Linked DNA regions of Schizosaccharomyces pombe. The protein of the gene in region 1 interacts with the protein of each later gene in a pairwise test. Each region holds a gene or a part of one and is shown on either strand. Other genes may lie near its edges.

What was found. The genes of interacting proteins can lie anywhere in the genome.
Region 2: the proteins of dna2 (region 1) and cdc17 interact in a two-hybrid assay, tested with the Schizosaccharomyces pombe proteins (one study listed by BioGRID).
Region 3: the proteins of dna2 (region 1) and cdc1 interact in a two-hybrid assay, tested with the Schizosaccharomyces pombe proteins (one study listed by BioGRID).

Annotation. Positions count from the first base shown.
Region 1 is NC_003423.3:3,589,923-3,599,938, forward strand, and holds dna2 (DNA replication endonuclease-helicase Dna2), read right to left. Parts: upstream 7,035-10,016; 5' UTR 6,771-7,034; coding exon 6,413-6,770; exon of another isoform or gene 6,368-6,412; coding exon 3,574-6,367; intron 3,526-3,573; coding exon 2,811-3,525; exon of another isoform or gene 2,789-2,810; intron 2,764-2,788; coding exon 2,437-2,763; 3' UTR 2,369-2,436; downstream 1-2,368. Other genes in the region: tRNA (guanine-N2-)-methyltransferase catalytic subunit Trm11, read left to right, coding at 1-201, 241-356, 405-464; kae1 (EKC/KEOPS complex N(6)-L-threonylcarbamoyladenine synthase subunit), read left to right, coding at 1,244-1,824, 1,865-2,324; cell wall alpha-1,3-glucan synthase Mok13, read left to right, coding at 7,649-8,005, 8,046-10,016. UniProt on the Schizosaccharomyces pombe protein: Key enzyme involved in DNA replication and DNA repair.
Region 2 is NC_003424.3:1,385,228-1,391,117, forward strand, and holds cdc17 (ATP-dependent DNA replication ligase Cdc17), read left to right. Parts: upstream 1-2,657; 5' UTR 2,658-2,716; coding exon 2,717-2,799; exon of another isoform or gene 2,800-2,839; coding exon 2,840-3,347; exon of another isoform or gene 3,348-3,409; coding exon 3,410-5,125; 3' UTR 5,126-5,390; downstream 5,391-5,890. Other genes in the region: mitochondrial dihydroorotate dehydrogenase Ura3, read right to left, coding at 283-1,614; SPOM_SPAC20G8.02 (DDHD family phospholipase), read left to right, coding at 5,410-5,890. UniProt on the Schizosaccharomyces pombe protein: DNA ligase that seals nicks in double-stranded DNA during DNA replication, DNA recombination and DNA repair.
Region 3 is NC_003424.3:4,012,622-4,017,057, forward strand, and holds cdc1 (DNA polymerase delta small subunit Cdc1), read left to right. Parts: upstream 1-2,428; coding exon 2,429-3,569; exon of another isoform or gene 3,570-3,618; coding exon 3,619-3,866; 3' UTR 3,867-3,936; downstream 3,937-4,436. Other genes in the region: SPOM_SPAC27E2.14 (uncharacterized protein), read right to left, coding at 42-56; msm1 (methionine--tRNA (Met) ligase), read right to left, coding at 3,957-4,436.

The DNA.
Region 1 (10,016 bases):
GTAATCACTATCCAAAGTTGGAGCAATATCAAATTAGTGATATGGTTTACGACATTATATGTTTTGCCTCAGATCGTCTTGTTGATGGTGGTCGATTGGTTTTGTGGCTTCCAACTATAACAGAAGAGTATGGTATCGATGATATTCCTTCACATCCGTATCTTTCTTTGATTTATAATAGCATACAGCCTTTCACTCACTGTAAGTTTTAACCAACCATACATTTTATTAACCTATTAGGGTCACGTCGATTGTTGACGTTTCAGAGACTCCCTAGAGCTCACGATTCAAAAAGTTTAAATTTACTCCCTAAAATAAATAATAAGACACCCTCGCACCACAATTTTCGAGAAAAGGTAAGCTAGTTCAGACGGCTCAACAAATTACTAATGTGAATATAACAGTACTTTAGCAGCGCAGGGCGTGCATCCGCAAGTACCAAATTTTCTCCTGTCTTAGAATAAATTAGCAATGGATTTGTTGAGGCAAGGAAATAAAAAGAGAATAAATTTGATGTCCTGTTATCCGTTTCCCTTTTCCTCTCCTCTGGTTTTTTAATTTTAGCAACTTTTTTGGTTTAAAGAATACGAGATTGTTAAATAAATTTGGGTTTTTAATTGTTACTTGTAATATACTACATTTATTTTTCGTATAGTCATGAAGCAGCAATTTTCCAAAGCACTATTGAAATAGCATGTCTAAAACTATATAAAAAAATTTTTGGTATTTCGTGTCCAATTTACCATTAGAAAAATATATATATATATTTATATTTATATGCTATGGCTTGTTTATGAAAGCAGATTAGTATTTAAGAATTATTTATTTCGCAATAGGGAGTAAAAAAATTTTAAACCGAAAAGCAACTCATATGGTATTAGAAAAAATAAAATAAAATCGAACAAAGTCGTACACAATTTATATTTTCATGCTTACGTAGAGTTTATAAATATTTGTAGATCAAAACTAAGAGGTAAAAATATCCGATTTTTCTAAGGTGTAAGCAAATGGATTAATAAATGGTGTAAGCGAATTTATCTAGTACACACACTTTTCTTGGACTACAATATATAGATTATAATATATCGAAAAATATTCAGTTTCTTATTTTTGGGTATTTTCTATCAGAAATAACTTTAGTTGGTTTGTTTGAGCTTGCTCGCAACTTTTTAACTTACTGATACATAAAAGAACGGCATATGTTGACCAGTGAGGAACCGTATATTTATTCACGTTAATAATTATGGGAAAACCTTTAATTGCACTTGGATTAGAGGGTTCAGCAAACAAATTAGGCGTTGGTATTATTTTGCATGATACCAATGGATCGGCTAAAATATTAGCAAATGTCAGACACACTTATATCACTCCTCCCGGACAGGGATTCTTGCCCAGCGATACTGCTAAGCATCATCGTGCGTGGATAATCCCTTTAATTAAGCAAGCGTTTGCTGAGGCAAAAATTTCTTTTAAAGATATTGATTGCATTTGTTTCACAAAGGGGCCAGGAATCGGTGCTCCTCTGAATAGTGTAGCTCTTTGTGCTAGGATGTTATCACTAATTCACAAGAAACCTTTAGTAGCAGTTAATCATTGTATTGGTCACATTGAAATGGGTCGTGAAATTACGGGTGCACAAAATCCTGTCGTGCTTTATGTTTCTGGGGGAAACACTCAAGTAATTGCATACTCAGAGAAGAAGTATAGGATTTTTGGTGAAACGCTTGATATTGCTATAGGCAATTGTTTGGATCGATTTGCCAGAATCATTGGTTTGTCCAATGCACCTTCACCTGGTTACAATATTATGCAAGAAGCAAAAAAGTAAGACTCACTTTGATGTTTTATACTAATTTTTTCCTAGAGGCAAAAGATTTATAGAGTTACCCTATACTGTTAAAGGTATGGATTGTTCATTTTCCGGATTGTTGTCAGGGGTTGAAGCGGCAGCTACAGAGCTATTAGACCCAAAAAATCCGAGTTCTGTTACAAAGCAAGATCTTTGTTACTCTTTACAGGAAACTGGCTTTGCAATGCTAGTTGAAATTACAGAACGCGCGATGGCACATATCAGAGCTGATTCTGTTTTAATTGTTGGAGGTGTTGGATGCAATGAACGTCTCCAACAAATGATGGCTGAAATGAGTTCGGATAGAGGCGCTGATGTTTTTTCTACAGATGAACGTTTCTGTATTGATAATGGTATAATGATAGCCCAAGCAGGGTTGTTGGCTTATAAAACCGGGGACCGATGTGCCGTCGCAGAATCGACGATTACTCAAAGATATCGTACTGACGATGTTTATATATCATGGAGGGATTAATACTTATATTCATGAACAAGGATCAGATGAATTTTATTTTAGGCATTTATATATACATTCTTCATTATGAAGATCGTATCCAGTAAAATATTGAGTTTTTTGAAGTAGATTATCAAAATTCCAGTTGAGGTAAAATAGCTTTTTCACATAAATTGTCACTATTAAAAAACCTTTGGTTCTTTCTAATAATAACTTTAGCATTATTTGTCGTTGCAACCTGAGAACAATCCTTAATTGGAGAGCTATTCTCGTCAAATTTCGTTGCTATATCATTCTCATTTAACGTGAAAATCCATTTGTTTTTTTCTAATAATTTCAATAAATGAGAAACTATATTTGAAGACGAAAGAGTAGATAACGAGCCAAACATAATACATTTCACTTTCGCCCTGCTTAAAGCAACGTTCAAACGATGCCAATCGCGTAGCAATTCTCCAACCTAAATAAATGGTTAGCAGTTGTGTAAATAATTGGTTCAATACTCACTAAGTTTTTACTGTTGGATCTCACAAAAGATATTAAAATGATGTCCTTGTCTCTTCCTTGATAACGATCGACAGTGTTAATTTCTATTTCAGTGAATGATTTAAGATTCTTAGAAAGCAACTCCACCTGACTTTTGTAAATTGAAATTATCCCGATAGAACTTTGCTTAACGCCTCGTTCCAAGAAGGAGGAAACTGCTTGTTCTATCAAAAAAGCTTCAGTATGATTTTCTAGAATATTATTAGTTTTTGATTCAACTCCCAGAATATCATCGGTATTAAAAAATATGACTGAATGACTAGGATTGATTAACTTGTTGACCCAATGTAGGCTAGACGACGAATCGGGTAAACCATCACTTAGATGAGCTTTTGGCAAAATTAATTTTTTTTGGGATATCGTCTTGGACCCACACACCAAATTGCCGCCATAAATAAGTTCACTAGATAATGAATTAATGTCTTCATTCATACGATATTGTAGTCTTAAAGTGGTAACGGCTTCAGGATGCTTTTCTGATAGTAATTTAAATAGACTGAGCGACAAACCATCCTTAGATGTTCTTGAATTTTTTACTAAAGGAGGAAGTTGATAATGATCACCAACTAAAACAAATTTTTCAGCAAGCTGCAAAGGGCCTAAGCAAATTGGTAGAGGTATTTGGGATGCCTCATCAATTATACAATAATCGAATTTTCTTTTATTGAAAATGGAACTAATGTTGTTAGTAGTTTGTTCATTGCCGTCGCTTTCAATTACTTACTGATATACCCCTAGAGAAGAGCATGCAACTATTTGGGGGTCTTCGTAAAAATGTTTTAATGACGCTAAGTCGTCAAACGTCGTTCCTTCAGTCAAACAAAATTCTTTTACTAGGGGATGGATTTTATGAGGAGATCCTAAGCGGACGATTGTGCTATCACAACCCTTCAGTTTAATTAAAATGTTATCAACTGCTAAATGCGTAAAAGAAGTAAGAAGTATTTTCTTCTTTTTGGCAAGCAATGATCTGATTAAGCTAGAAATTGTAGTGGTTTTCCCCGTTCCAGGCATTCCGAGTATCAAACTATAATGTTCTGCAGCGTGGCATTTCTTTAAAGCTGTAATTTGATCTTCGTTTAAACATTTCAAAAATTCAGGATCGATTAATGCACTATTACAAAATTTTGGAGGCTTCAAACGGATAATCATGTCCCTTATAATTAAGGGAGCATCTGGTAATACAGAAGACATCAAGGTACCTCTTATTGATGCAATTCCGCTCGAAAATTCGTCCTTATCAATTCTGTACCTCGTATGGTTACTTCCGATAAATGACAATTTGGAATCTTCATAGTTACCAAAAAATACCTGGTTTTTTTTGAAATCAAAGTTAGGCATCTTTAGCCATGGAATATGAAGTCGATGACGAGTTCGTACTTCAATACATGAATCTTGAATATGGACTATGTGTCCTTTAGCTAGTGACCAGTGTCCATGTTCATCAGAAATAAATACTCGTTCACCAACGCTGAAGCCTGAGTGCAAGAAATTTCGAGGATAACCATTGTCATTTAAAAAAGCGAATTTGTAATGAAAAACCCTGTCATCAATTTCTAAACAAACGATATCCTCTTTAGTAATGTATAAAGGATACAGAGTTTTTCCATAAGCTTCTAGCTCTTCTGTATCAAAAGTCAACACATCGCCTCTTTTTAGTAGTAAGAGTCGTTCCTCTTGATTTAATAACTTCTCCCACTTCTTATAAAATTCAAGATCCTCATCTTTTACTTCGCGCATCCATTCATTCCATGACTCAGTCAAGCCGTTACTATTAGCTACTCCTTTATCACTCATCTTTTGAAAGAACAAACATTCAGAAACTAAACTGCAGTGATCGCAAATTTTTCGGTTCGAAATCATTTCAGGAAGGCTGCGCCTAAAGTTATGCTGTGCAAGAGAATTTCTTGTCATGATCAACCCTCGAAGTTGGGAGTTACTTGCAACCAAATTCTTGATAGTACTATTTTCCAAATAGCATAATAATGCCTGATTAGTATTGATACCATAACGATCTGAAATGAGTAATGTATAAAGCAAACTTTGAGCAAAATGGCTAATATTGTCGACATATCGGCCAGTTTTAAGCTCTAACGGAAGTGTGAGGGTTGACGAAGACTCAGGTTTTTCAGTTAAAACCACCTCAACTGTAGCATCGATATTACCTTTTAATCCAAATCTGGGTGACCATATGGATTCCTCAATATCGAGAAGCCTTGAAATGTGAATACTTTCATTGTTGTTGTCATTTTTTTTACTTATTAAATATCTTTCAACAATAGATTTAAGAAGGGGAAGCCTCGCATCAAGTTCCTCTCGAATTTCATCGAGCGACAAATCAGCAAAATAGATATCAGAGATGTATGTTTTTATTGATGTTTCAAGGTTGATATCAACATTTTCAAGGGCATCAATACCTCTGTATAATGCGTGTTGAAAAAAATCATGTAAAATGTTTCCAGTTACCATAGCTTTTGTAGGAGGTCCATAAATGCCAACCCTGTCAGATATTACGGCTTTCCTCAAACAAGGAAAAGAGCTGGCCACTGCCGTAGCAGACATTAAAATTTTCGGATGTATGATAATAAGTCCTTTATCGTTGTCAACGATAGCGGTATTATCTTTGTCAAATGTAGCTTCAACACGGATAGAATCCCCTACAAAAATACTAGTCTCAGTCCAATCACCGCGTAAAAATAACTGATGCAGTATATCATTTGCTTCCAAAATCAACTTTAATTGTCGAAAGTGATTCCCTTCATGAAAAATGAAGTCTTCGTGAACTTCTAATACTGTGTATTCGGAGGAAAACTCGCACAATTCACCAGGAGTGCATCCATCACACGAATCATCCCAATCATCGATAAAGTCGCTATTGATATCCGGCAATGAATTACAAGCTTTATCAAGAGCAAGGTTCACAGGTTCTTCATTTATTGTAGCATCAGATGCTTTTGTTGCTGAACAATAAGATTGCAAATCACCTCCCACATGGTTGACCTTAGCTGTCTTTTCTATGTCCTTTGCAGAAGCAGTTACTGTAGAATTAGGTAATTGTGAGTATTGGCGTTCAAGGGAATCTAATGCTGCCAGATCTTCAGCTTCTAAGGCAAAATCATCCTCGTCAATTTCGGTATCTGATCCTTTGAGAAGACAACTGGAATTTGCAGCAATTCTTGATTGCTCAGATGATCTTGCATTACGAATTATAGACACCAAGCTAGGGACTTTATGCAGGTTATTTCCTTGGTTTTTTACTTCATCATACGATCCGAAGCTTCTACTCTGGTTTTCCGAAACATTTGAACTCGACAAATTATTGTTTATCAGTGGCTTATTATCTGAAGCACATCGTCGTAATAGGACAGTTTCATCCGTATATAATGTAAACACATCAGATTTTGAGTTCGTTGACACTGGTTTCATATCTATAATCGTTGAGTCCGTCGTTTGATGATCCAGCAAATGTTGAGTAGAAGAGCTACGACACAAATCCTTCGAAGTTTCTTGAAAACATACTTCTAAAAGTTAAAATACACGTCTGAATACAAGAAAAATCATACCTGGCATGTCTTGGCTATTCAAGTCAGATTTCCGCGTGAAAGATTTGTCAGGCTTTAAATCGTCAGTAATTTCTTTATGAGCTTTAGTAAATGGGGAAAAAGATGTTGAGGATTCATTAAAAGTATTCTTTCGTTTAATTGGTAATGAAGAATGCTTTTTTTCAGAGATTTTAGGTGAACTAATTTCTGTAGATGCATTGTACGCAAAATTTTCCAGCTTCAATTTAGTTCTCCCATTTAGCAAATAGTTTTTCCTGAAAGGAGTTGAATTAGTTTTTTTTAAATTACCATGATTGTTGTCAGTAGTGGCACATATACCTTTCACAGATGAAGTTGTTTTCGACTGGTCGTTGAACATTATTAATTTACAAAAAAAGGAAGGCAATAAACATTAAAAAATAAAAAAGTTTGTTATAATTATACTCAAATAACCAGGCTAAAATTCAACCAGGTAATGAGCTTTGAAAAGAACGACTAAAACACGTGAAAAAGAATGATGATCAACGATGTAAATGCAAAGAAAAAATAAATAGAAATAAATTAAAATAAAGCCTTAACGACTGCGCTTATTCTCAAAATAATAGGCAATGCTCGTAAAATAGATATTTGGAGTATGGTTGTCGGAGGTTTCAGTTTTATAGATACTCGGTTCCCTAACGCCAACAATGCTAGTTAATTTATTTCCTTAGGTTTTCCGCAGTCATGTTCTCGATTGATTTTAAATAAAATTACACATGAATATGTGCCAGTAATCTTTACAATGAACCTTGTGAAGTCGTTCACAGGTAAATTGAACTAAAACCAAGTCCGATGAAAGCAAAATTATTGATTTTCCTTAATACATAATTAATAAATATTATCTGTATCGAAATTCGCTTCAACTCTTCTTAAGTATAAGCTTATTAACTGAATGACCGTTTGCATACAAAAGCGCAAACTGCGATTTAATTATAAAATAAAATTCCTTCTTAATTTTTTTAAAATTTATTTTTAAAATAGAAATGCATGTGTAAGCAAAAATTAATATAAATTTTTTAGGTTCGTTTGTTTGTTTACATTCCAAAAAGTTGACTTATTGGTTATTGTACTCTTCTCGTATTTAGAAGCAACCATCATTTGAATCGGGAAAAATCTTGATAAATTCATATATAATAGCATTAACGATCGCATTAATTTTAATAAAACTATTTTGAACAGGGCAGCTTCTTCACGTCAATTGAGGAAATACCATAAACGATGCGAAATAAGAATATTCTCGTCTTGAATTTGATATTAAGTATACCAAGGTTGGTCTTTACTGCTAAATATGATGAAAGAGAATCTTTATGGAATTTAAACCAAAATCAATCAGCTACCGATCCTCTAGATTATTGGGGAAAATGGGAAAACCATCAATACCATCCCAGTCCAGATGATTGGCAAGTGCCATTTTACACAGTTATTTTGGATAAATGGAAAGATGGTGATCCTAGAAATAATGAAGCTAACAATACTATTTATGAGTATGATATTTATGAAACTGGTTTTCGAAACGGAGGGGATATAATAGGCCTGAAAGACTCACTAGATTATTTGGAGATTATGGGAATAAAGGTAAGATAGAGTTATGCTTTTATGCTCGTTAACGAATAAGGTTATCTACATCGCCGGTACACCATTTTTAAATCAGCCATGGGGTGCTGATCAGTACTCACCACTGGACTACACCATCCTCGATCACCATTCTGGAACAATTGCACAATGGCGTGACACGATAGAAGAAATCCATCGTAGAGGGTTTTATTTAGTTCTGGACCTTACAATTTCTACGTTGGGAGATCTTATAGGGTTTCGGAAGTATCTGAACAGTACTACTCCATTTTCTTTATTTGAACATGAGGCGGTGTGGAAAAGCAACGTCATTTATCCAGACTGGAATTTCACAAATAAATATGACCCAAAGTGTGAGCTTCCCAGATTTTGGGGTGAAGATGGCGCGCCTGTTGTGATTGATTATGTTGGTTGTTATGATTCAGATTTCGATCAGTATGGCGATACAGAAGCCTTTGGTACTCATCCTGATTGGGAACGTCAGCTTTCAAAGTTTGCTTCTGTCCAAGATAGACTTAGAGAATGGAGGCCATCGGTTTCAGAAAAGTTAAAACACTTCGCATGTATGATCATTGCCATGTTAGATGTGGATGGTTTTCGTATTGATAAAGCTACTCAAATTACAGTTGATTTTCTTGCTTCATGGGCTCATTCTGTGAGGGGGTGTGCAGCAACGTTTAATAAAAAGAATTTTTTTATACCTGGTGAAGTAACTGGTTCTTCAAGTTATGGCTCAATTTATTACGGTCGTGGTCGTCAACCAGATCAACGTCCTCCGTCGATACTTACTTCACTTAATTCATCATCCCTTAAAGAAAACTACTTTCTGAGGGAACCTAAAGCGAATGCCCTAGATGCTTCTGCTTTTCACTATTCACTCTACCGTGCCATGACCAGATTTCTGCAAATGGACGGAGATCTGCAAGTTGGTCATGATCTTCCCGTAGATTTTACAGATTTGTGGAATGCTATGGCAGTTAATGAAGACTTTTATAATCCTAACACTCATAAAGTTGACCCGCGTCACATGCTAGGGATTACTAACCATGATGTTTTTAGATGGTCAGCAATTGAATTTGGATTAGAACGTTTGCTATTAGGAACCATGATAACGTACTTTCTTTTTCCAGGAGCACCCTCCATTTATTATGGTGATGAACAAGGATTCTATGTACTGGATAATACAGCAAACAATTATCTTTACGGTCGCCAAGCGATGCCTTCATCTATAGCATGGAAAGTTCATGGTTGTTATGCACTGGCATCTGATCAGTATCCAGAACTTCCTGTCATAAAGGCATATCAAGGGTGTAATGATGATTGGAATATAATGGACCACTTTGATTTTGCTAAACCCGAATTAAAAATGTTCAAGATATTCAACTTTATTAGGGAACAATACCCGGCCTTAAAATCTGGATGGAAATCAGTTAAACTAAGAAATTGGACTGAATATGTACATTTTCCTAATAGCGGAAAGACGCCTACGGAAGTTGGGGTTTGGAGTATAGTCCGCGGTGCTTTAGAGACGTTGCAGAATTTTGATGCCCGTAATAATACTGCTTGGAATGGAGACATTTGGATACTTTATACTAATCAAAATAGAACGACTACACTCGATTATCAATGCTCTTCCTCTAATTCCGTTGTGTCTCCATATGCTTCAGGTTTGACTCTCAAAAATTTAATCTATCCTTTCGAAGAATATATACTTCAGGAATCAAACAAATATTCTTCTAATCTAAAGTCCTACTATGGGTGTATTCCTAATATAGAATTCCCACCCTGGGGATTTAAAATACTTATTCCTAAAAAATATTACGTCCGATACCCACCACAAATTACTTCTTTTAATCCCCAACATGACTCGAGAATATACAATCATAATGGAAAACAAAAGCTTGTTATATCATTTACTGAAACGATGGATTGTAATGAAATAACATCCAAATTGCAATTCAGTTCGAAAACAGAAAGTGGTAAAGTCATGAAAGTTGATAAAGAAACTGTGAAA
Region 2 (5,890 bases), on another chromosome or scaffold:
TAAGTAAATAGGTATTCACAAATGTAAGACAAGCAAGACTGGCAGGATTTACGAGATTACTAAGAAATGCCTGAATGACTAATTTCATAATAGAATTAAACTAGCGACATAATAGTTTCACAAGCAAACTTAGGTATGCAAAACAAAAGGTAATTCATTTATAATATTTAATTAGAAGAACGTGAGTATTATTTTCTATAATATGTTAAATTTTTACTATAATAATGTACCAGTAAACGACACTGAATTTTTTCTTTAAAAGAAATATACTGACATCCCAATCTATTCTTCCTTGCCAATTATGTCAACCCAACGTTTGCCCTTAAGCTCGGCAAGAATCTCTTGCTTAATCTTGTGAGCAATTACAGGACCATCATATCCCAAAGCAGTATAAACTTGAACCATAGTTGCACCAGCACGAGCATACTCAATAGCATCTTTGCCAGAAGAAATACCACCACAGCCGATGATGGGAATATCGGAAGAAAGATGCTTACGAAGTGTGCGAAGAGTATTTAATGCGATAGGTTTGAGAGGAGGTCCAGAAAGACCACCCGTCTCTTCAACATGGCTAGTTGATTTGAGGGTCTTAGGGCGTTGAACGGTAGTATTACCAACGATCACACCGTCAATCTTGCACTTTTTGAGGACATCGGCAATGTCCGTGAGTTCTTCTTCGTTCAAATCAGGTGCAATTTTTACAAGTACGGGAGGATGAGGAGAGTTCAATTTATTGCGCTCACTGACAACAGCAGTCAATAAAGTTGAGAGGGCAGATTTCTTTTGTAGGTTACGAAGACCAGGGGTATTAGGAGAGGAAACGTTAATGACAAGAATGTCAGCGAAGTTACCAAAGGTACGAACACCTTCAACATAATCCTCAATCTCGTTACCGTTCTTATTCTTGCCTAAATTGATACCAAGGAACTTGTTAGGAATTAAACTACGAGGTACGCCAAGGACAGCGGGATCAGTGCAAGAAGCGGGATTTGCATCAAACTGTTTTAATAGTTGAGGAGATGTCTTAGCAATGTATTTGCGAACGCGCTTTTGAATCTTAGCAAGGATGGCATCATGGCCGATAGAATTAAAACCGTAACGATTGATTACAGACAAATCAGGCTTAAGGCGGAAATAGCGTGGTTTAGGATTACCAGGTTGAGGTTTAGGTGTGACCGAGCCAATTTCAAGATAGGAAAACCCGAAGTTCAACAAACCTGAGATAGCATCGGCTTGTTTATCGAAACCAGCAGCTAGACCAATGGGATTGCAAAATTTCTTACCCCAAACTTCAACGGCAAGAGATGGATCATCAGCTACACGATCCTTCGGTGTTATACCCCAAGAGGCAGCGAGAATGGCGACACGATGAGAAAACTCAGGAGTGGTGAAAGCATGAAAGAGAGGCATTTCAATGCGGCCATGGATAAAACTACGAACATCGGACATGTCGTAAATGGCAACGCCGGCAGTAAAACTACCAATAACACTCAAAAGCTTCCAATGACGGAGAAAGAAATTGCCATTTGAAGAGCCAGAGCTGGTAGATTGAAAACGTACAGAGGAGCGCTTTAAACCCTGAGCGACACCGCGAAACAAAGATCGTTGATACATTTTAGTATTTTTAATAGAATTCGGCTTAAATAAAAAATTTTCAAAACGAAATTGAAAAAAATATGAATGATAAAATAATAAAATGAAGTTTTATAATAGTTTATGCTTAATATATTTAAACACCAGTTTTTTTCCAAACACAACAAACCCAAGAAAAAATAAACAGAACCAAAAAATAAAAATATGGATTTAAGGATCAGAACAGAATCGTCAATCCGTTTCTTTATCCACCTAGAGACAAGAAGTGTTAATTTATATAAAATGGAGAACTTGGTTCTAATAAGATTTCAACGAAAACAAAGATTTCAGAACCGAAAAAATTTCTCCAAGTGCTAGCAGAGGTATATTCTCTGAGAAAGAACAAAAATCAAAAATTGAATGTTTATATTGAATGTTACCTGTAACAGGTAACATGTTTTTTTAGTAATGCCGGGCTGTCGAAATTTGACTATGAGTTTTGTAAATAAAGCGATGGTTATAAACAATTTTATGATAGTTTTTGCTTTCGAATTAACATTTCATAAAAAATTTGAAAAAGAAAAATTTTAAAAATTTAAGGACAAAATCCACTTGAAAAACAAGTGCGAACAGCTTTTTGCAAAAAAACTACAAACCACTACACATTAGCGAATAAGCCTATTAGGAATTTATTTTAATTTTTGTTGATTTAAATTTCTTTTTTTTTTAAATGGTTAGAATCTAGTTGATAAACTTCTAGCAATGTATTTCCAAATTGTTTCTATTACGTTCGTTGATACAGGCAATTGTTCATTTCTGGTATGACTAAAGCATTTCTATACAATTCAACTTCTCATTTTTTCTAGCTGTATTTATGATGTACAGAGCGTTGGGAGAGAGTTGATTAAGTCAATAGTATTTATGAATGAGACAAGGAACACTCATACTATATCAATGATAAATAGCTTTTATATTATCCTGTTATAATCATAAAAATTAATTTCATCTATATAGACTTAGAAAAAAATGGTTTCGTTTTCACTGTCCTTAAACTACAAATATCGTACACGTGTTACTTGTTCTTCAGGTGTACCCTCACTATTGTCAAATCTTATGAAATTCTTTACTCGTTGACTTGATTGTTATGCGAACAGTATTTTCGCAAATTCCTCGTTTTAAACAAGTCAATCAGTACATACGGATGTCGACAAGGCAGTCAGACATTAGGTTTGTTAGATAGAAGACAGACGTTGACTAACCCATATAGCAACTTCTTCATTTCTTCTGCTTCGCACAAAAGCGAGCACGTGGAGGTTTCTCAATCGTCTTCTGATTCCAAAAATGTTGATGGGAGAAGCACAAGCGAAAAGAGAAAGGTCGAATCAGTGAAATTAGTCGACGAGTCGAAACACAACAACCACGACGACACTGGAACTCAAAATGTTGAGCGTGAAAATAATATTGTGTCTGAGGCAAAAAAGCAAAAGACTTTAGGTTCATCCTCCTCTTCTTCAGATGCCGTATCTAGTAACAACGATTCTGGGGCATCTACTCCAATACCTTTGCCAATCAAAGAACCACCGTTAGAGTCCAATGCTCGCAATGATAAGTTAAAAGGTCATGCAACATTTGCTGAAATGGTAAAAGCATTCACAAAAATAGAGAATACTAGCAAACGGTTGGAAATCATTGATATAATGGGGACTTACTTTTTTGGAATTCTTCGCGACCATCCCAGCGATTTACTGGCCTGTGTGTATTTAAGTATCAATAAGGTATGAACGTTTGGTTTTAAAGGATTTCTCCTTCTCAGTACTAACGTCTTTTTTTACATTAGTTGGGCCCAGATTACTCGGGACTAGAGCTAGGAATTGGCGAAAGCATTATAATGAAGGCTATTGGAGAGTCTACAGGGCAAACGCTTCAACAGATTAAACTATCGTTTCACAAAGTTGGTGATCTTGGTCTTGTAGCTCAAACATCCCGTCAAAATCAACCCACTATGTTTAAACCTGCAGCGCTGACAATTCCATTTTTATTTGACTCATTAAAAAAAATTGCTCAAATGAGCGGAAACCAATCCCAAAATAGAAAAATTGGAGTGATCAAGCGGCTATTGAGTTCCTGTGAAGGTGCAGAACCTAAATATTTGATTCGAGCTTTGGAAGGCAAGCTACGCCTCCAACTTGCCGAAAAAACCATTTTAGTAGCATTAGCAAATGCCACCGCTCAATATCATGCTGATAAGAATGGAGAAAAACTTTCGCAACAAGACAGGATTGAAGGAGAGCAGATTCTTCGAGATGTTTACTGTCAACTGCCTTCATACGACCTTATCGTTCCTCACTTGATTGAGCATGGACTTGGTACTTTGCGTGAAACTTGTAAATTAACACCTGGAATCCCAACAAAACCCATGCTGGCTAAGCCGACGAAACAAATTTCAGAAGTTTTGAATACGTTTGATCAAGCCGCATTTACATGTGAATACAAATACGATGGCGAGCGCGCCCAAGTTCATTTTACCGAAGATGGGAAGTTTTATGTATTTTCTAGGAATTCTGAAAACATGTCTGTTCGCTATCCGGACATCTCTGTTTCTGTATCGAAGTGGAAAAAACCAGATGCTCGTTCTTTTATTCTCGATTGCGAAGCTGTCGGTTGGGACCGTGATGAAAACAAAATTTTACCTTTTCAAAAACTTGCAACAAGAAAGAGGAAAGATGTGAAAATTGGGGACATTAAGGTCCGAGCATGCCTTTTCGCTTTTGACATTTTATACCTAAATGGGCAACCTCTTTTGGAAACCCCACTCAACGAGCGTCGAAAACTACTTTACTCAATGTTTCAACCAAGTACTGGAGACTTTACTTTTGCTAAACATAGCGATCAAAAGTCTATTGAATCCATTGAAGAATTCCTTGAAGAATCTGTCAAAGATTCTTGTGAGGGTTTAATGGTCAAAATGCTTGAAGGCCCGGATTCTCATTATGAACCGTCAAAACGTTCCAGGCATTGGCTAAAAGTTAAAAAAGACTATCTTTCTGGTGTTGGAGATTCTCTGGATTTGATTGTAATTGGCGCATACTACGGAAAGGGTAAACGTACTTCTGTTTATGGTGCCTTTCTTTTGGGCTGCTACGATCCAGATACCGAAACAGTTCAATCGATTTGCAAACTCGGGACTGGTTTTTCAGAGGAGCATTTAGAAACTTTTTACAATCAACTTAAAGACATTGTTATATCTAAAAAGAAAGATTTTTATGCTCATAGCGATGTACCTGCGCATCAGCCTGACGTCTGGTTTGAGCCTAAGTACTTGTGGGAAGTCTTAGCTGCCGATTTATCTTTGTCTCCGGTTTACAAAGCTGCAATTGGATATGTTCAAGAGGACAAAGGAATCAGTTTACGTTTTCCAAGATTCATTCGTATTCGGGAAGACAAGAGCTGGGAGGATGCTACAACAAGTGAACAGGTTTCAGAATTCTATCGTTCGCAGGTGGCTTACAGTCAAAAGGAAAAAGAAGGGTCCCCAGCTGCCGAAGATTATTAAGTTTGTAGCTGAGAGTTACTGCTGAGAGCTACTGTCATAATAAAGGGTAATGTTCGGCTAAAATTTGCCCAAAGAGGCTAATATGAATTATGTTAAAGAGACAGACAAATTGAGTTTATGCTCTAGCTGATGGCTATTTCTCTAGCTTACTACTATTTATTTTTTTCTAATTGTAATCCCCTGTGGCTAAAAAAAAATTAATAATAAACAACATTGAATTTCCAAATTATAACATTAGATTGAAAATTTGAATCTTATTTATCCCTTTTTATTATCCTTTTTATATGATTTTATACATTGTATTACCATTTTACGTTCGTACCAAGCCTTACTCTATTTTGCCGTCATATTCCTCCTTACAGTGGATTACGAATGCTTGGTGTTCATTACCGTCCATATACATTTTATGTCACTGTAGCAAACACCAAGAAGAAATTACAATATTGGCTTTAAAGCCATTAATTGCTATGAATAATTCAGAAGAATGGCCATTGAAACATGTGCAACCGCCCAAATTGTCATTTCGTCATTTGCTATCGAGATCTGTGACAGATGCTCCTTCATTGCGGGTACGTTGGTTCTATGCGGTAGATAGACCGCTTAGGAAATCAAGAACGGGACCGACGGAAATTAAAAAAGCAAAAAATTTTTTACCTTTTTCAGCTGAAGACTCGGAGCACATCGAAAAAAGTTATTTAAAGGCTGTAGAAAATGACGGTCAATCTGAACCGGTCAATGTGAATGAGGATTATTTGTATTCGGTGA
Region 3 (4,436 bases), on another chromosome or scaffold:
AGATTGGAATTTGCTTTTCGGGAATTCTGGGACTTGCTTACTCTCCGTAACCTCATTTCTTTTCTCCTGTCTCTTGCATTTCACACACCAATCCAAACAAGTTCAGCGTGAGGACTGCTTTAACATCCGTGATCGAGCCTAGACGGTTGTCCCAATGTTTAACAAGGAGCTCGATGTACTTTTTTATTTGGTCCGTTGACTTTCCGCAAACATGCAGTGAGAGAATACGGAAGTGAAGAGAATTTCGGTAATGTATCGCACGCACATATAGGAACAAGAACAATTCATATCCATCTATGTCTCTTCCGGTTTATCTGAATGATTTGTTGCTTTCTATTAATTCGTTAACCAAGCAACCACGAGGCCCCATCATTCTGCCAAATTGACTTTCACAATCATTGCACAACTATTGCTTCAAGCTCCCTACAAGGTATCCAGTGAGTATCAATATTTTAGCAGCATCGATTTGTTACTTACTGTTTGGAAAAAAATCGGGGCAGATGAGCACAAACAAAAAGCAACAAAACTCTGAAATTTTTATATAAAACATGGATTCTCAAACTCCGATCCCACAAAATCCCTCTACTGCTTTAGTTTAACCTCAGGGGAAGCGGAAACCGACAACTGTCCGCAGAACCGTTATTGGCTCGTTTGTTCCAAACTCTAGCAGTGCGAAAGTGAAATTTTTACAGTATGCAGGCAGGTCCTTCTTGCAAGACACTATAAAGTAAAAGTTTTTTAAACAATTCGACATTCCGGCGAATGTGAAAATGTAACTGTGTGAAATGTTGACTATACAAGTGCATTAAGCAAAAGATCTCATCGTAATTTTCGATCTTCAATTTATCAAACTTTCAACCGTTTTTAAACCGTATGACCTTTTAATACGTAAACAGTTTCTCATTTTTTTTATGTTTTACTGCATTAATCACACACAATAAGATTTTATTTCCATTTCATTCAAGTTGCCAAGTTATTTCTATTTAGTATATTAACAACTAAAACACAACTGGCTGGCTATGCAAGTAATTATTATTCTCTAACATAGAGATTCTTATTTTTTTTGGTACACAAGTTTATGAGTCGTTAAAACCTTTTTAAATCGTGCAACATTGATTCATCTCAGTATACTCGATTATCCCTGTGTTCGATATCCCGCAGCTGTAGCCGATACTGAATGTTAACAGTCCACAGTCTATTTATAGCTAGCTCTCTGATATCGGACAACAGGCAATACCGCTTCATTGACCTCTCGTGACAAGCGGCTTTTTTATAAAGGATGTATTGATATCTTTGAAGAAGAAGAAAATCGGCAAGTTTTTCATTTTACTTTAAACATTTGAATTTGGTTTTGCTATTCTTGCTTTTCCTTCTACAATACTTTTCCATATGGGGTAATAGTGTGACCGATCAACATTGCGTTATTTAATATTCAGATTTCAACGGAATAAAATAAAACCTCAATTTAAATTAATGTAGTTTTGATATACATCTTTAATAAGTAATATAGTAAGATACAGAAATCACCTTAACCATTTCTAGGGCACTATGTTGGCCTACCTTTCCTCCTATTAATTAACATAATGTTATTAATTTACAATCATCAAATAAATCGAAAACCCACTTTTTATGCTATAGGAAAGGGTTTGTAGTTCATTTACTTCGTTGGGGAATTTGCTTCTTTTACTTTTGTGTGATAAAACTCGATAGACTAAATATATGGATTCATCATGATTGTTCAAGGTTGAGAAAAATGTTAATTGTATGAAACGAAATAAACCCACATGATGTTTGTTCATCCTCAATTAGTAAACATTCACCTTTATTGAGCTTCTTTCTCTTTTCGTCAAGTTTACCTCTTTGTTTACATTTAAAAAAAGATGTTCTTCAAACACTTTATTGTTGTAGGTAACAACAGCTAGTCATGTTAGGAACCACGACTTTCTCATATACAACGTATTCTTACTTGTTGATCTGCTGCATCCAACTCCTTTGCTTATTCGAACCTTCTAAACCTGGTTCCATTCCATGAAATTGATTCCCCTTAACCTTGCATAGCACACCTTTGAAGTTCCTTACTCTTTACATATGCTGCTTGTGTAAATTAGTCAATAACATTTAAAGAACTGATTTTATTGAAAAAACAACAAAAGCGTTATTATATTTATTCCTCTTTTTTTTAAACAGGTGTTTTGGGGCCGTTCATAGGTTTTTTGGGAAATCATATAAATATATATATATATATATATATATTTTTTTCCGCACATTTACTTGCAATACTCGCTCGTTTTAGTAATTGCATGAATCGTAGACAACTCTTCACTCTCCATTGTTGTGAAATTTTTCGTGGAGCATCTCGATTTAATATCCTGACTACTCCTTTGGTAAGTGTTTAACTTACCTAACTGTATATATTTACAAAATAATCATGGTTGAAGTCAGACATTCAATTCCTTGTGAAGAAACTAAACGCTTGGAGCTTAGTTTAAGTCAGCAAACGTATAGTCAACAGTACGCCAGCATCTATTTCGCCCGACTTACCGCTCTTCGACCCAGAATCACAGAAGCCGCTTCAAAAAAATGGCCGGATAAACAGCGATTGGAACGCGTTTTAGATGTTAAGTCAGATGAAGACTGTTGGGTTGTCGCTACCGCTTATATGACTACAGCTCTTAAGCCAAACGTTATGAACGATGTCACACAACTTCATACAATTGTCACCACTACTGAAGAATCTCCGTATGTTAGCCCAGAAGATGCTGCTTCAGGTGATATAGAATATGCTCTTGAGGATGACTATGGCCGTATAGATTGTAGCGGAAGCTTTTTGTATGACGCTGGCGTTGTTACAGGAGTTGTTCTTGCAGTTTTGGGCCATGAAGATGAACAAGGTCGTTTCGTTGTCGTTGACGTTTGTTTTCCAGGCATCTTCTCTCATTCCATTCCAATGACTACAGATGAATCGCAAGCTCAACCAGAGTACATTGCGGCAGTCAGTGGCTTAGGTCTCTCAAATGACGGCATAGAAGGCATTCAAGTTCATCAGCTTGTAGATTTCCTAAGAGGAACACTTCCACATGTCTCTTCCTTTTCCCCTTCCTCCATCAAAAGGCTAATTATTCTCGGAAATTGCTTAGCACCTTCTATAGAAATTGCCGACTCCGCTTCTGCGTCCGTGCCCATTGGCAAGAAAAAAGTAAAAAGATATGGCTATGACACGTCTGCTTACAATCCAAATCCCACCTTCCAACTAGATAATTTTCTTGATCAAGTGTGTTCCAGCATAGATGTCACTTTAATGCCTGGTCCTTATGATTACAGTTCAACTATCCTTCCTCAACAGCCTTTGCATCCCGCTTTACTTACTAAATCAAAAGTTTGGTTGGGATCTTCTTTACAAACAGTTACGAATCCCACTTGGCTTTCTCTTGGCAATCATTTTGTGTTGGCTACTAGCGGCCAAAACATTAATGATCTCCGAAAATATCATCCCAAAAAATCTTCACTTCAATGCATGGAAAACACTTTACTATGGAATCATATCACACCTACCAGCCCTGATACCTTATGTAAGTAATCTGTACATTTTTCAAACGATATATTTGCTAATGATTTTAGGGTGCTATCCTTTCACCGACAAAGATACATTTGTAATGGAGGAAATGCCTGATCTATATCTTTGTGGTAATCAACCGAAATTTGGCTGCAAAACAGTCATTAATGAGGGAAACAGAATACAATTGGTTTCCGTTCCCGAATTTCGTAAGACTGGTGTACTTGTTCTCATAAATATGCATACGCTCAACGTAGAAATTATTCAATTCCGCCCCATGTCAGTCAAAGCAGAGACTCCAATTACTTCTTAATGCAAAATATCTTGAATATTTAATCATGTATTTATTAAATAAATAAGTTTTTTCTTACTGTTGTCATCATAATTATCTGATCTACACGTCTCATTGAGTTCTTTTGTCAAACAAATGAGAATTATTACCACTGTGGAACGTGAACTCCGTAGGTTCAAAAACGTTAGTTGCATTCTGTAGGGAGCGCTGGTTTTTAGGAATTCCTAATTGGTCTAATAACTCAGTCGACTTGGTTGGCATTATAGGTTGTAGGAGAATTCCGCTAATGCGTAGGCTGTGAGCTACTAACATTAAAGTGTCAATCTTTTCTTGAGAATCATCTGATAATTTCCAAGGTTCTTTCAATTGAAAAAGCTTAGTGACTCTTCTTAAAACAGACTGAACAAGATTAATAACCTCGTAAACACACCCACCATCTATGCTTTGCGCGCAAACAACAGGAAGTTCTATAAGTTCGTGTACAATATCTTCGTATTCTGTAAAATCATCCTTTTTATGCCATTGCTTCTGTATTTCATTGGAAATGAACAGTTTCTTCGATTGCAATCGAGAAAGTAGCACACCTAAAGA